Stegostoma tigrinum: one gene and its partner. The main gene of each other region encodes a partner of the protein of the gene in region 2 in a complex. Links are inferred from orthologs where the notes say so. Each region holds a gene or a part of one and is shown on either strand. Other genes may lie near its edges.

Region 1 (7,936 bases), on a different chromosome or scaffold from region 2:
CAGTCACATAATTCTTCCCATTTGCAACTAGATATTGGTTCATTTAGACACAATGCTTATTACAATAAATTCTATCCAAGCAAAGGCAATAAAGCAAGAGCAGAAGTAGGCCATTCAGTCCACTGAGTTCTATCAATGAGATCATGGTTGACTTGATAATACACAACTTGACTTTTCCTCATAACCCTCGATTTCCTTACTGATTAAAAATCTGTCCATCTCAGCCTTAAAATGTACTTGATGACCAAGCCTCAACAGCCCTCTATGACGAAGAATTCCACAGATTCACAACCCTCGGAAGAAATTCCTCCTCCTTCAGAAAACATTCTTCATTTTCTGAAGAAGGGTCAAGGCCCGAAACATCAGCTTTCCTGCTCAGCCTGCTGTGTTCATCCAGCTCCACACCTTGTTATCTTACAACTAATAAGCAGGCTCAGGTTGGAACTGGTACAACTTGTCAACCAAATAAATTTAAGGTGGCCAGAGTTTTGTGCTGTTGCTGCATTTGCAAGATTTAAAAAAAAATTGTCAGATAGATTAATTTTAATCAGGTGGTGCTTGAATTATTCAGAGCTACTCAATTTCATTGCAGCCAGTTTCATATGCTCGTGTGTCATGTGGAAGAGGTAAACTAATATCTTCATTGCTGTCAAACTTTCCAACCAGGAAATCTGTCCCATTTTATGGTTAAAAAAACAACTGCAAGTTAATGTTTACAATTCTGAGCTTTAATCTTTACACTCAATTTAACCTTTTCAATGACAGAGGATGTGCCATTTCTGTCATATCAGCACTAAATAAAATCCATAAATCTCTTCAGAATTATGGGTGGTAACAAATTCAAAACAGTGAACTAGGCACAAAATTCTTTGGGTAAAGTGTGGTTAATAAATGTAACTTGTCACCACAAGGGGTGTTTTTTTTTAAAGCAATAGCAGTGCTTGACTGCCACAGGGTGGAAAGGATTAGAATATTATGCTTATAGGTTCAGACAAAGTAAACTAGGAAGAGGCCATAAAATCCATCAATTAAGCAAGTGGGCCTCAGATCAGTTATATTTTCAATGCTTGAAGAAACTGAACAAACTGAAAAATATTTGGACAGTTTCAAGTATATCAGAAGCATGCAGGATTTCAAGACGATATTTCAGTAAAACATGTCTGGGGTGCAATATCTGCACACTCTGGATGTGTTAAGATCTTGTGGCACAGTGGCAGCATCCCTACCTCTAGGCCAGAAGATGAGTTCAAGTCCTAACTGCTCTGGAGGTGTGTCATAACACATCTGAGCAGGTTGATTGAAATAACTAAACTAAACGCACAAGATTGAGGCACACAGATACAGTACGACTGTACTGTATGACATTTCTGTTGCGATTTCCAACATGATACCTCAGGATTGTCTCAAATCTTATTTCAACAAGAAAACACAACAATGGCAGTTGCAAATTGGAATGATAACCCATTAATTTCAAAAGGACTTCTCATTACAAGAAAATGGAAGTCAGCAACTGCAATACAAGATAATTAAAGAAGGTTTGCAACAGTGAGGCACAAAAATGAAAGATTAAGAAACAACAGTGCGCATAAGAAATACTGAAGGCCTCTGCCAGCAGGTTGGATTTGAAGTTCATTCCTCCCACAGCCATCATCTTCTGTACAATACCATTACAACTCCCAAAGTTCAGCACTTGAAGAGGATGCACGTTGAACAAATCTCCCTGCCTGCAATGCTTCATGGGGCTGCTGGAAAGAGGCGCATGACCTGGACATTCACGGAGTATATTAATACTTTCTGTTTATATCCCAGGCCTCTGGTGGAAAGTTACTGAATTCAAGTCCCCAAGATTACCAACGACTTGCTTTTAGTAAAGAATAACTCATTCAGCATTTGGATGAAATGTTTTTTAAAGTTCCATATTCAAGACATTGGTCTCACAAGCTACATTGGGACAAAGGACAAGCTTTCGGAGCCTCAGTCCAAAGCCTGTATTTTCAAATAAACCTGTTGGACAATAATCTAATATTGTGCGATTTCTGACTTTGTCCACCCCAGCCTCTCCACACTGTGACAAAGGAAGCAGTGCACGATACCAAACTTTCAAGTAGACTCGATTTGTTAACTACGTTTGAATATTTTATACCAGATGCTTAGAATTTAGACAGAACGTGAAAACAACAATTGGTGATATACGTACACCAACAAATATTATACAATTCCAAAGGTGAGGAGAATAGTCATGCTCCAGGAACTAAGGGAAAAAAAAGTTCGATTCACTCTGTCGGAGGTCTTTCTCAAGTCTAAACGGGGGCTGTATGCCGTCCACTTTGTAACATTTACCCCGAACAAGCAGGAACTGGGAGGCTAATAGTTTTGCTGGGTGTGAGAAGCAAGCACTGAAAGGTTATCATATCAGATCCATCCCTTCGACAATTTCTTCTCTAGACTCAATCAGATACGTACAACATATATGGGAAATTTTGCGACACTTTCCTTTTATCCCTGTGCTCCCCACCCCACCAAAAACAACTAAATACATTGCCATATTCATCCTTCCTTTTTGGCATGACGTTTTTCAGTAGTTAGTCGATTTATGGCTCTCGACAGTAAATCTGGGCAGCCTCCCTTCTGACAAAAAGACACCCCCCTCTCCAATTCTTATTAAACCCAAAACACAATTAGTCCCAAAGAGTAGAGCTGCCACAGGAGAAATTAAATACCCATCATTATCAATGCTTTTAAAAACATTTTGGATGCAATTGGATCACAACACAATGAGGTGATTTAGATCAGACTCATCTGAGAAACTTGAGCTGTTTAATGCATTGATGCTGCGGAAGTAGGTGGCGCCCACCGGCCGGCTCTTCACCGGAGGTGGGAGAGGGAGGAGGAAGTTTAGCCGCTTTCTTACTTACCGAGTCCATTGCTCCACTGGTCGCTGTCTCAGCTTTCCTTCAGCCGCTTTCTTCCCCACGCCGGACTTTCACCTCCGCTCCCCCATCCACACAGCACCGCTTTCCGTTCCGCGCCTGCTCACCAAGTCAACGAACGCAAGATGGCCCGTTGTCGCAGCTGCGCCCACCAGCCCGCTGGCGCCGCCTGCAGGCTCCGACAGGCACGCCGAAGGAGACCTGGGAAGCAAACAGGCTGGAACTGGTTTGGTGCGGGGTGGGGAGGGGGGATGAGGGATGACGGGGAATGTGGGGAGGGGAGATGTTACGGATACTGCGATGGTGGTGGTGGCGAAGTGGACGACGTGACATCCTCTATATCGGTGAGACTAAGCGGAGACCGTTTTGTCGAACATCTGCGCTCTGTACACGACAAACACCACCTTCCGGTCACCAAGCATTTTACTCCCACCCCCGCAACTCCTCGGGTGACATGTCCATCCTGGGCTTCCTCCGGTGTCACAAAGACACCACCCTCAAACTGGAGGAGCAACACGTATTCTCACCGAAAGAACAGTGGATGCTGTAAATAAGGAACAAAAACAGAAGTTGCTGGAAAAGTTCAACGGGCCTGGTAGCATCTGTGAAGGAAAAAAATCAGAGTTAACGTTTCGGATTCGGTGACCCTTCTCAGAACAAGAGGAGAGCTCTGAGGAAGTGTCCCCGAATCCGAAACGTTAACTCTGATTTTTTTCCTTCACAGATGCTGCCAGGCCCGTTGAGCTTTTCCAGCAACTTCTGTTTTTAACACCTCATATTTCGCCTTCGGTTCCTACAGCCCAATGGCCTGAACATAGAAATCACCAGTTTCAAAATCTCCCCACATCCAACCCTCCCTCTCAACCCCGCCTCCTTGACCTGACACAACCTGTCCATCTCCTTCCCACTGAGCAATCCCCATCACCCCCTACGTCTATCTATTACCATCCCATCTCCTCCCCCCAGCCCCACCTATTCTCCCTCTCTCCTCCTTGACCTGACACAACCTGTCCATCTCCTTCCCACTGAGCAATCCCCATCACCCCCTACGTCTATCTATTACCATCCCATCTCCTCCCCCCAGCCCCACCTATTCTCCCTCTCTCCTCCTTGACCTGACACAACCTGCCCATCTTCTCTCCCACCTATACATCACACCCATCTCATTGCCCAATCCCCACTATCCCTTACCTGCATCTACCTAACACCACCCCACCGGCCTTCCCCAGCCTCACCCCTCTTCCCCCCATTTATTTCCCAGCTCCCTTCCCCCTCCCCAGTCCTGGCCTGAAATGTTGATTCTCCTGCTTCTCTGATGCTGCGTAACCTGCTGTGCTCCAGCTCTGCTCTGTATCAACTCTGACTTCAGCATCTGCAGTTCTTGCTTTCTCCCAGGAGGTGATGTGATCGCATGGTGATATGATCATTGTTGGGGGGAGAGAGAATGTGATGGAGGTGTGGGGATGTCAACTTGAAGGGATGTGATCTAAGGACAGTGTGATGGGGAGTGGGAGGGAGGCTGGGTGGTGGAAAGAACAAGGAACATATACTCCCAAAGTTCCAGGCAATTCAAAAAGACTCAAGGCTTGAACATCTTGTTGTTTGCAAACAAATGAATGATTTCTTGTTTGTTGCACTGGCTGTTGAGAACTCTGCTGGGAGTAGGCTGCAGGTTTGAGTTTAGAAGGATGAGAGGGGATCTGATTGAGGCGTATAAGATTATTAAGGGATTGGACATTCTGGAGGCAGGAAGCATGTTTCCGCTGATGGCTGAATCCAGAACCAGAGGACACAGTTTAAAAATAAGGGGTAGGCCATTTAGAACAGAGTTGAGGAAAAACTTCTTCACCCAGAGAGTGGTGGATATATGGAATGCTCTGCCTCAGAAGGCAGTGGAGGCCAACTCTCTGGATACTTTCAAGAAAGAGATAGATAGAGTTCTTAAAGATAGTGGAATCAAGGGTTATGGGGATAAGGCAGGAATAAGATACTGATTGTTTGATGATCAGCCATGATCATAATGAATGGTGGTGCTGGCTCGAAGGGCCAAATAGCCTACTCCAGCACCTATTGTCTATTGTTGTAGAGGGTTCCTTAAATCTGAAGATTAGAGCTGCATTTAGATTAGATTAGATTCCCTACAGTGTTGAAACAGGCCCTTCGGCTCAACAAGTCCACACCGCCCCTTGAAGCATCCCACCCAGACCCAGTCCCCTATAACCCACACACCCCTGAACACTGTGGGAAATTTAGCATGGCCAATCCACCTAGCCTGCACATCTTTGGACTGTGGGAGGAAGATAAAGCAAAATGTTTAGAATGGGTGATTTTCATTTTCATAAATTTGGAGAATAGCTGGAGTCATAAACAGCATTTTCCAGTATATTCAGAACAGTTTTCTGGAACCAAATGTTGTAGAAGAACAAAAGAGGCCATTTTAGATGTAATGTTAATATGCCAAAAGTAGTTAATAATCTGACAGGAAATGAACATCTTGCAAATATTAAACATGGTATGATCGAATTTGATACTAAAGTTGAGTGGAAGAAGAGAGAATCTCAAGCCAGGTTTTAAACTTCGGTAAATTTACTGCTAAAAATTGAACATAAACTGACACAATAAATCATGCTCAGTTGTTAACAAATGTATTTATAAACATGAAAGGTATTTAAAGTAGCAGTGCAATACAAGACAATACTTATCTCTAAAAAAAAGCCAAAGCTCCACTCTGTAGGATTAAGTAATGAGTTCACAAATCAGGCAGGATGCAGTCAGAACTTGAAGTGCCTTCTACAAATGAAATGTAGAAAGCTGGCAGAGTGGGAAAACAATAAAAAAATTTAAAGTGTTAATTGTAAAACAAAACACTAGCTAAACAAAATATTGCAGAATATTTTTGTATTGCTGAAAAAAACATTTTGTCAAAGCCATCACCTTGCACTCATCAAGACAAGTTACCAAAAAAAACCCTAAGTAAAACAGAGTTTATATTAAATGAGAAGAGTGTTCATTGATTGGTAGAGATGATGCCAATAAGAATACATATTACTGATGACTGACCGTTAAATGCCAAGTTTTGTTTATGTTTTAAACCAGGCAGTTTGACCTTGATTAGTTGAGGTTCTGCCTTTAGGAACAATCCAGGGAATGACCTGCCATCTAGTTTCTTGAGTTGAAATGCCTCTACTGATCAGAGGCCACGCCAATAAATCAGCACTCTCCTCTCATACAAGATACGTTATTTTCCCCTTACTTAGGTATTTTTTGTGAATTCTCCTACGGATACAATCAAAAAGCTTCAACAAAGTTCTATACCAATAAATGACTATAGAATATTTCATGGACAAAACATTTAGAACATTCAAGAGAGACTGAAAAGCAACAATCTAACCTAAAGATTGAAATGAATTCAATACTTAGATGCTTCACTAGTTTGTAACAGATCTATAAATGTCAGGATGTAACTACTGCCTTTACATCACTTCAACAAAGTTTTTGTCGATTAACAGCTCTGTGCGGCCAACTGCACATGAGGATATATGCTTAATATAATTCTCACCATTAAAGATGCAATGCATCATAAATATAGTTAATCTCAAGGCATTAACCACACATAAAAATGTATAAGTTCTGATGTAAGGTGTGTGATATGGATTTTGAACTAGTGGTATGTGGGTTTGATCTGTATGTATGGGGGAGGGGTTGTTGTTTAATGATTAACTTGTCAGTATCACTGGAGACATAGTTTTTGTTTTTAAAAAAACTGTGTGCATGTTCCTGGAGGAATAGTAGAAATTTGTTTGCATTAGGAGAGTTGAATAAGCAGCGAGAACACTGAAAAGCATTAATAACAAAAATTACTGTTAAAACTCAACAGGTCTGGCAGCATCTATGAAGAGAAGACACAGTTAACATTTTGGGACCAGTGACACTTCTTCAGAACTCCAGATGCTGCCAGATCTACTGAACTGGGGAGGCAATGGCTTCGTGGTATTATCACTGCACTGCTAATCCAAAGACCTAGATAATGTTCTGGGGACCTTGGTTCAAATCCCGTCAAGGCAGATGGTGGAATTTGAATTCAACAAAATATCTGGAATTAAGAATCTAATAATGACCATGAATCCATTGCCAATTGTTGGGAAAAACCTATCTGGATCACTAATGCCCTTTAGGGAAGGAAACTGCCACCCTTACCTGGCTTGGCCTACATGTGACTCCAGACCCACAGCAATGTGGTTGACTCTTAGCTGTCCTCTGAGCAATTAGGGATGGACAATAAATGCTGCCTAGCCAGAGCTGCCCTCATTCCCATTCATGAATAAAGGAACTGTTCCAGCAATTTCTGATTTCCAGCACCCACAGTTCTAAGGTTTTATAGATAGCATTAGGCTGCTTTTAGTTAGAAGGATCAGAGATTTTGTTTTTTATCTCCAAAATTTAGAATTCTTTTGTTTTCAGTCCACAGAAGTCCAGGTCGAAGGAAAGCAGAGAAAACAAATTCCCCTCGAAGAAAGTAAATAATTCAGGATAGTTAGGAAATAAACAACCTGTGTGTAAGGGGTCTAGTTTGAAAGTTTCAGACCAGAAGTGTTTGGGTAGAAAGGTTATTTGAAGCTGAGAAAATCTAAGCTCAATTGTGTGAATAACTGAGGAGGCTCCATCAGACTTTCGAGACCAGGAATTTAAAGCACCGGTTATATCAGATCTATAGATGTGATAATGAAGGGAGTTCTCTCTGATGGGGGTACTGTAAAGGGGTGTTGTTGGGAGAGATGAAATACTGTATTTCGGTTATTTTCAAATTGCTTCATATATAAATAGCCTAGTTTATTCCATTTTATCTTATTTCCTTATGCATAGTAAACTTGGTTGACTGACAAAACCAGATTTGCAGTAATACATGCTTGTTTCAGTGAAAGACCACTTCGTAGAATGAATCAAAATATGATCTGTCAAGCCAGATTTGAGTCTGGTATTTGACTTGCTCAGCTTGGATCGTAACT
Region 2 (7,281 bases):
GTAGGACCAGGAAGCATCACACATGAAAAAAGATTTTTGAGGTACACATCAAGTCAATAAAATTAGTTCAGGTTTAAAAAAAAAGAAAGCTCGTCTTCAGAATGTAAAAGTAGGTAGCATTATAATCATGTAAAAATTGGTCAAATTTCTTTGGAAATATCAGAATCTGTTTTGGCTACTCCATTTAAGAACATAATACCCTTGCAAAAATCCAGAAACAGTCCAGCAGCATTAACTGGGAGATAATGAATTTGAGTTACATTGAAAAACTGTAAATTTCTTGTATTTAGTGAGCATTAAAAGGTGACTGAAATTATGGTTATGAAAATAACTGACAGAGAGCAAATATACTTCTAAACGATTAATTCAGGAGACAGTAATATACTGGAAGCAGAATTTGCCAAATAAAACCAAATCCGAGAAAATGCCTGTTCAAACAAGGCATACCAAGACTGAACACACAGTGCAGAAGGCCTAATATGCAAAGCAATTATTGCAGTGTAAATAATTATTGCAGAAGGTTGAAGAGAACAGGAGAAAGATCTCAAGCCTCCTGTGCCATTCAATCAGATCCATTCATCCATGTGTATCCACATGCCCTTGATATATTTACTGAACAAAAATCTATCAAACTCGTCGAGACGATGTCAAATAATCTCAGCATCCAGTGACACTTGAAGGGCCCCACATTTGGTGAAAAAGTGTTTCCTGATTTCAATCTTAAGTTGCTTAATTCAAATTTTAAACTGCATTCCCTTGATCTACATTTTCCCACCAAAGGAAGTTGTAAATACTTCAACTGCATCACACTATATTTTTAACACCTTGAAATAAGCACCAAGTTTAAACAACCTGGAGTTGTATTTATGTACTTTGAATCCTGGTCAATTGGCATGATATTAACTAGTTCGCCAAGAATATGTTGCTACTGAAGTGTGGTACCTAGAAGTGAACAATATTCCAGATGGTATCTGAACTAATTTATTACCAACACATAACACAATTGATGTCACTCACAGTTTGATAATATGGGGATGACGGAAGAGTTTCAAGTTTTGAATTTCCCGCTTGATTTTTCCAACAACATCTAAATTGCGAATCTTCTGTCTGTTCAGGATTTTAACAGCAACTTTATGTCCTGTTAGCTGATGTTCTCCCACTGAAGAAGAAACAAAAATAAAATCAGCATTTAACTTCTGAAACACTCCATTGTATCGGAGGAAAGATGACTGACATAGTAAATGAACAGTAAAGTAACCCTTTTGAGATAGATGCAAAGGAACAAAATAAAGATATCTTTGAAGAAGGGTTGGCTCTGCATGGTCATGGTTTGCAGTACTTGATTCTGAATTTGTCAAATTTAAATGAGAATGGCTCCAGCGGCTGATCATAAACTTAACATAAATCAATTATTACACTAACACAGTAAATGATTCTGAAATTAACAGGTTACACATTTCGTCAATACCCTTAAAGGGATAGAACATAGAACATAACAGCACAGTACAGGCCCTTCGGCCCTCGATGTTGTGCTGACCTGTCATACCGATCTGAAGCCCATCTAACCTACACTATTCCATGTACATCCATAAGCTTATCCAGTGACGACTTAAATGTATCTAAAGTTGGCGAATCTACTACCGTTGCAGGCAAAGCGTTCCAATTCCCTTACTACTCTGAGTAAAGAAACTACCTCTGAAATCTGTCCTATATCTTTCACCCCTCAATTTAAAGCAATGCCCCCTCGTGCTCACCGTCACCATCCTAGGAAAAAGGCTCTCCCTATCCACCCTATCTAACCCTCTGATTATTTTATATGTTTCAATTAAGTCACCTCTCAACCTTCTTCTCTCTAATGAAAACAGCCTCAAGTCCCTCAGCCTGTCCTCGTAAAACCTTCCCTCCATACCAGGCAACATCCTAGTAAATCTCCTCTGCACCCTTTCCAAAGCTTCCACATCCTCCTTATAATGCGGTGACCAGAACTGTACGCAATACTCCAAGTGCGGCCGCACCAGAGTTTTGTACAGCTTCATCATAACCTCTTGGTTCCGGAACTCGATCCCTCTATTAATAAAAGCTAAAACACTGTATGCCTTCTTAACAGCCCTGTCAACCTGGGTGGCAACTTTCAAGGATCTGTGTACATGGACACCGAGACCTCTCTGCTCATCTACACTACTAAGAATTTTACCATTAGCCCAGTACTTTGCCTTCCGGTTACTCCTACCAAAGTGCATCACCTCACACTTGTCTGCATTAAACTCCATTTGTCACCTCTTATCATGCATACACTGAAGGAAGACAGAGGGGTGAGAAAAGGGGTGGGGTAGAAACAGGCAAGAGTGGAGCCAGGTACCAGGCAAGAGTAGCTATGAGTGCAGGACTGTTCACAAGGGCAAGCCTGGACTGGAGCCCCTAACTGACCACATTATGCTGCCGCCCGCAATCAGCGGAAAGTAGTGTCAGGTCCAGCTGGTGGGGAGGTGAGATTGGAGGGTAGAAACTTGAATCCAACAGACTCAGAGAAATAAAATGAATCACTGCCCGTCTTAGAAGCCATTCCAGAATCAACACAAACTAGTGTGAAAAACCATACCAAAATCAACATTCAGTTCAGAGGAAGAGTGACTGTCTCTAGGCCAAAGCTGATCAGAGAGAGGAAGATTGTGTCCGGGTCGACACTGACCATGAGCTGGAGCGGGAAATGGAGACAGTGTCCGGGCCAACACTGGTCCCGGGGGGATGCAGAAAGTGTCCAGGCCGACACTGACCGGGGGTGGGTGGGGGACATGGGGGAGGATGGATGGAGACAGTGTCCGGGCCGACACTGACGGGGGGTGAGGGGGGGGGGGGGGGCATGGGGAGCGGTGGTGGATGGAGATAGTGTCCAGGCTGACACTTGAATTTATTTATCATTAAGCGGGACCCATCTCAAACCGGAAGCATCTTAAATCTGGAAAGAAACACTTAACTCTTCACTTTGCCGAAGGTTCCAACCCCCAGAGTGTCGCCCAGGATGTAATGGCCGATCTTTACCCGACCATCGTGTTTCTGTTTCTCCGCCATCGCTGTCGGATTCCCTCTACCCAGCGTGCCCCACAGCCTAACGGCCAATGCGCATGCCAACTAGCGACTGTGATTATTTGGGGGTGAAGGGGCCGCTGCCGTCGCCATCTTTGAGGCGGTCAATGTCATCTCGACCCTCATGAGTGAGAGTACTTCTGCTCTTCCACAACGCTGCTCATTTTCCACCCCACCAGCATCTGTCTGCAAAGGACGATAAGCCTCCATTTCCGCCACCTCCAGTTGGATGTCACTACCAGATACATATTTACCTCAGTGATAATAGGAACTGTAGATGCATATTTACCTCTCTTTCTTTGTCAGCCTTTTTCAGGGACTGTACCCTGTAGGACACCCTGATCCACTCCTCCACCGTTCCCAACATCTCCCCACAGTCCAATGCACTTCACATCCAATTACAAAAGCTGCCCGTTTACTCCCTCACTGTCCAAAGCCACAGACACACCTTTCAGGTGAAGCAGTGATTTACTTGCACTTCATTCAATTCAATCTATTGCATTCACTGCTGTCAATGTGGTCTCCTCCACAATGTGGAGACAAAACACAAGCTGGTTGGCTGCTTTGAGGAACATCTACATTCTGTCCATAAAAATGACCCTTACTTTCAGTTATCTGCCACTTGAACACACCACCATGTTACCTAGCCAAATTACTGTCCCAAACCTGCTGTAGCACTCCAGCAAAGATCTGCTCAAGTTGGGAGCACAGCACCACATTTTCTGCTTGGGGACCCTGCAACCATCAGACTCAATATCAAGTTAACTAATATTAGGGCCTGAGCACCTTCTTCCACGTCCTTTACTCATCCTCACACCCCAGACCTTGTCACCCCAAGGGATGTTTTCAGTTCAGCAACCCATTTTCACCTACTTATGGTCCCCATTATCAGCTTTTCTCCTTCCTTGACATACTTTGTTTGTCGGATGGTCTTTCTCTCCATCTGGGCTCCCTCTCCATCAATTCTCTCCGTCCTTTACCCAACCCTCCCCCACCCCTTGTCTTTAGTAGAGATTCCACCTTTTCCAAGCTGCTACTAGTTCCAAAAAAGGGTCCGTTGACCTAAAATGTTGCCTCTGTTTTTTTCTCCACAGATGCTGCCGGATCTCCTGAGTTTCTCCGGTAATTTCAGTGTATGTATTTTTACCATTCCAGTTGTAGACGCTGCCTCACTGTCCTGGGTTATTGCTTAAGGTACCCACAATTCTCTCTCCTCTTGTATTTGACTGATATGGTCACCTTAAAAATGACACATGCCTGAAGTTAATGAAATTCTAAGATTGACAAGATCATATCATTTTGAAATTAGAAATGTGGAAAATAGGAAATAAGGAATAGTGACAGGACTTGAAATCAATAAAAGTTTGATTTGTTCGCGACTATTTGTCACAGTGGTTGGTTAGCTTGGATGGCTGGTTTGGGATGCCAACACATGGGTTCATTCCTGCCCTGGCTGAGGTTACTAAGAAGAATTCTTCTGCTCATTTTCTTTCCTTGATTGAGGTGTAGTGACCATCGGTTAAACCACCAGCAGTTGTCTCTCTCTAAAGGCTTACGGTGTGTTAGGTTTTATTGGTAGAGGGATTGAGTTCCAGAGCCATGATGTCTTGCTGCAACTGTACAAAATGCTAGTGCGGCCTCATTTGGAATATTGCATGCAGTTCTGGTCGCCCCATTACAGGAAGGATGTGGAAGCACTGGAAAAAGTGCAGAGGAGATTTACCAGGACGTTGCCTGGTCTGCAGCGCAGGCCCTATGAAGAAAGGCTGAGGGACTTGGATCTGTTCTCATTGGAGAGAAGGAGGCTAAGAGGGGATTTAATAGAGACATACAAGATGGTCAGAGGATTAGATAGCGTGGACAGTGAGAGTCTTTTTCTGAGGATGATGACTTCAGCTTGTTCAAGAGGGCACAGTTACAAATTGAGGGGTGATAGATTTCAGACAAATGTCAGAGGCAGATTCTTTACTCAGACAGTGTTAAGGGTGTGGAACACCCTGCCTGCCAATGTAGTTAACTCAGCCACATTAGGGGCATTTAAACAGTCCTTGGATAAGCATGTGGATGATGATGGGATAGTGTAGGGGGAGGGGCTTAAATTAGTTCACAGGTCGGCGCAACATCGAGGGCCGAAGGGCCTGTTCTGCGCTGTATTGTTCTATGTTCTATGTTCTAATGAGAGACTAGGCTTCTGGGATAATGGCGACTTTACCTTATTTGTCATGTTTTTGATTCAGAATTCACACATACCTTTTTAGCGCACTACTATTCTACATTCAACTAGATGACATGACTGTCATATTTCCTATTATTTACCAGCTCCATGGACCTGAGTCATACCTACACTGTGCTTGTATCACTAGAAGGCTTTTCATAAACACTAGTTCACCTACCTCAAATGTTCAGACAGAGCCCTTAAACTTGGCTGTGAGCAGAATTCCGGTCCTCATGACCCTTCAAGTTATCTTACTCATAATTAGATTTTAACTCTTCCTTACTCTTCTCAGAATTTACGTTAAAAGCTATCTTTCTATTTAGGATATTTCCAGACTATGCACCTAAGCTTCAACATTAACTTAGACCACCTCTCAATACTGATTTCACTTTTCTACTTGTCATATCTGCTCTCATTCTACTCATAACAGTACTTTTGCTCCAGAATGACTTCTACAATAGGTTTTTGCCAGAATGTTCCTCTGTTTAGGTGACTCTTTTAAAATGTAGATCTCCAAAGTTAACCTAGCCCCAGAGGCCTGACAAAAATAACTTGCATTTGAGGAGCAATATTAACATTAAAAGAAGTCCCAACATGCTTTTCAGGAGGAATGAGCCATATATGTGGATATTAGGACCAGCCTCCAAAAAATTGGTCATTAGGTAGGCTTTAAGGAGCATTGGAATGAATGAGGGAAGGTGGAGGCATTTACAGAGAGAGTTAAAGGGCTCAACTCCTGGCACCTGATGCCAAGCTTAGATCAATAAAATAATTGTGATGCACAAAAGGGCCAGAATTGTACCACTGTCAAAAGAACATCAACATCTCAAGGTTATCATGGAGAAGAAATTGATCAAAACTGTGACTACAAGAACAGGTCAGAGGCTAGGAATTCAGAGACTCTCTTAAAGCTTGCTCACCATCTACAAAGCATAATTCTGGTGTGTGATGGAATATTCTCCATTTAGGTGGATGAGTGCAATTTCAATATCAGTCAAAAAAATTAACACCACACAGGACAAGCAGTTCACTCGACCTGCATCCTATCCACAATTTTAAACATTCACTTTCCCCACCACCAAACCATAGTCGCAGCAGCGGCTACCATCTGCAAGATGCACTGCACAACTTCCCAAAACTCTGACCACTACTGCATAGGAGTAGGGCAACAGATGCATGCGAGTACCATCACCCGAAACGTTCTCTCTGTACCATATACCATCATAACTTGGAACCATATTGGCATTCCTTCACCATGGCTTGGTCAAATTATTGGAACTGCCTTCCTAACAGTATTGTATACCAATGTGTTATGGACTGTAGTAGTTCAAATGTATAATTAAATCAACACTATTTTGTTTTATTTTTCTTTTAGCAAAATCGACAGATATAATTTACGGGGACAGTTAGGTAGACATTCACTTCTCTGGGACCCAGTCCAAAGGTCTCATAGATTTAACTTCTGTTCCTTTCCATTCTCAACCTGGGAACTTTTACACTCAGAATTGTCTTTCACAGTGAGGTTTTTTTTCTCTGAGAGATCTTTCCTCTAGCACAAGCTAAGTAAATCTTCCAGCCTGATATTTTACTTCTTGTGAATTTAGTCTTTTCAGTCCATGTTCGAGTTCTACCCCCATTCCTGCATGACCAAATACAGCATTGTGCTAATCATAGCTGATCTTCCTGTTTTAAATCCTAACAGACTAACTTTATCTGTGAGTTTTCAGACATTTCTTAGATTCATCCTTTCTCAAGAATAATTTCTGATGGCAAGGTGAATTGTAAGTGCCTTTTATTCAAGTAGAAATACTGGTTAGCTATCCTTAAGAGCCTATTCTTTTCTCCTAGAAATAAACATTTAAAGTTCAGTTTAAAGCTCAACTATTGAGAACAGAATATTTCAGAGTTCGATTACTTCCATCTTATCCACTGTTAGCATATCTAGTGTCATTTCTAGTGTCAGGCTAGTGTCATTTTGCCCA

The links. The genes of interacting proteins can lie anywhere in the genome.
Region 1: the proteins of prkaa2 (region 2) and 5'-AMP-activated protein kinase subunit gamma-1 are in contact, whole or in part, in a crystal structure (PDB 6B1U), measured with the Homo sapiens proteins. The link is inferred for Stegostoma tigrinum from reciprocal best matches to the Homo sapiens genes PRKAA2 and PRKAG1. Residues at the interface, in NP_006243.2 of Homo sapiens: Asp329, Asn330, Ile333, Met334, Ala337, Phe340, Tyr341, Leu342, His366, Pro367, Glu368, Arg369, Met370, Pro371, Pro372, Leu373, Ile374, Asn444, Val446, Thr447, Pro530, Arg531, Leu532, Gly533, Ser534, His535, Thr536, Met537, Asp538, Glu541; in NP_002724.1 of Homo sapiens: His36, Asp40, Leu41, Ile42, Pro43, Thr44, Ser45, Val50, Phe62, Leu64, Val65, Thr66, Gly68, Val69, Arg70, Trp75, Ser77, Lys78, Lys79, Gln80, Phe82, Pro158, Glu159, Ser160, Gly161, Asn162, Lys170, Arg171, Lys174, Phe175.

What each region holds. Positions count from the first base shown.
Region 1 is NC_081404.1:12,381,907-12,389,842, forward strand, and holds the start of 5'-AMP-activated protein kinase subunit gamma-1, read right to left. Parts: upstream 3,090-7,936; 5' UTR 2,925-3,089; coding exon 2,916-2,924; intron 1-2,915. UniProt on the Homo sapiens protein: AMP/ATP-binding subunit of AMP-activated protein kinase (AMPK), an energy sensor protein kinase that plays a key role in regulating cellular energy metabolism.
Region 2 is NC_081361.1:54,945,812-54,953,092, reverse strand, and holds the start of prkaa2 (5'-AMP-activated protein kinase catalytic subunit alpha-2), read right to left. Parts: upstream 3,088-7,281; 5' UTR 3,070-3,087; coding exon 2,976-3,069; intron 1,160-2,975; coding exon 1,018-1,159; intron 1-1,017. UniProt on the Homo sapiens protein: Catalytic subunit of AMP-activated protein kinase (AMPK), an energy sensor protein kinase that plays a key role in regulating cellular energy metabolism.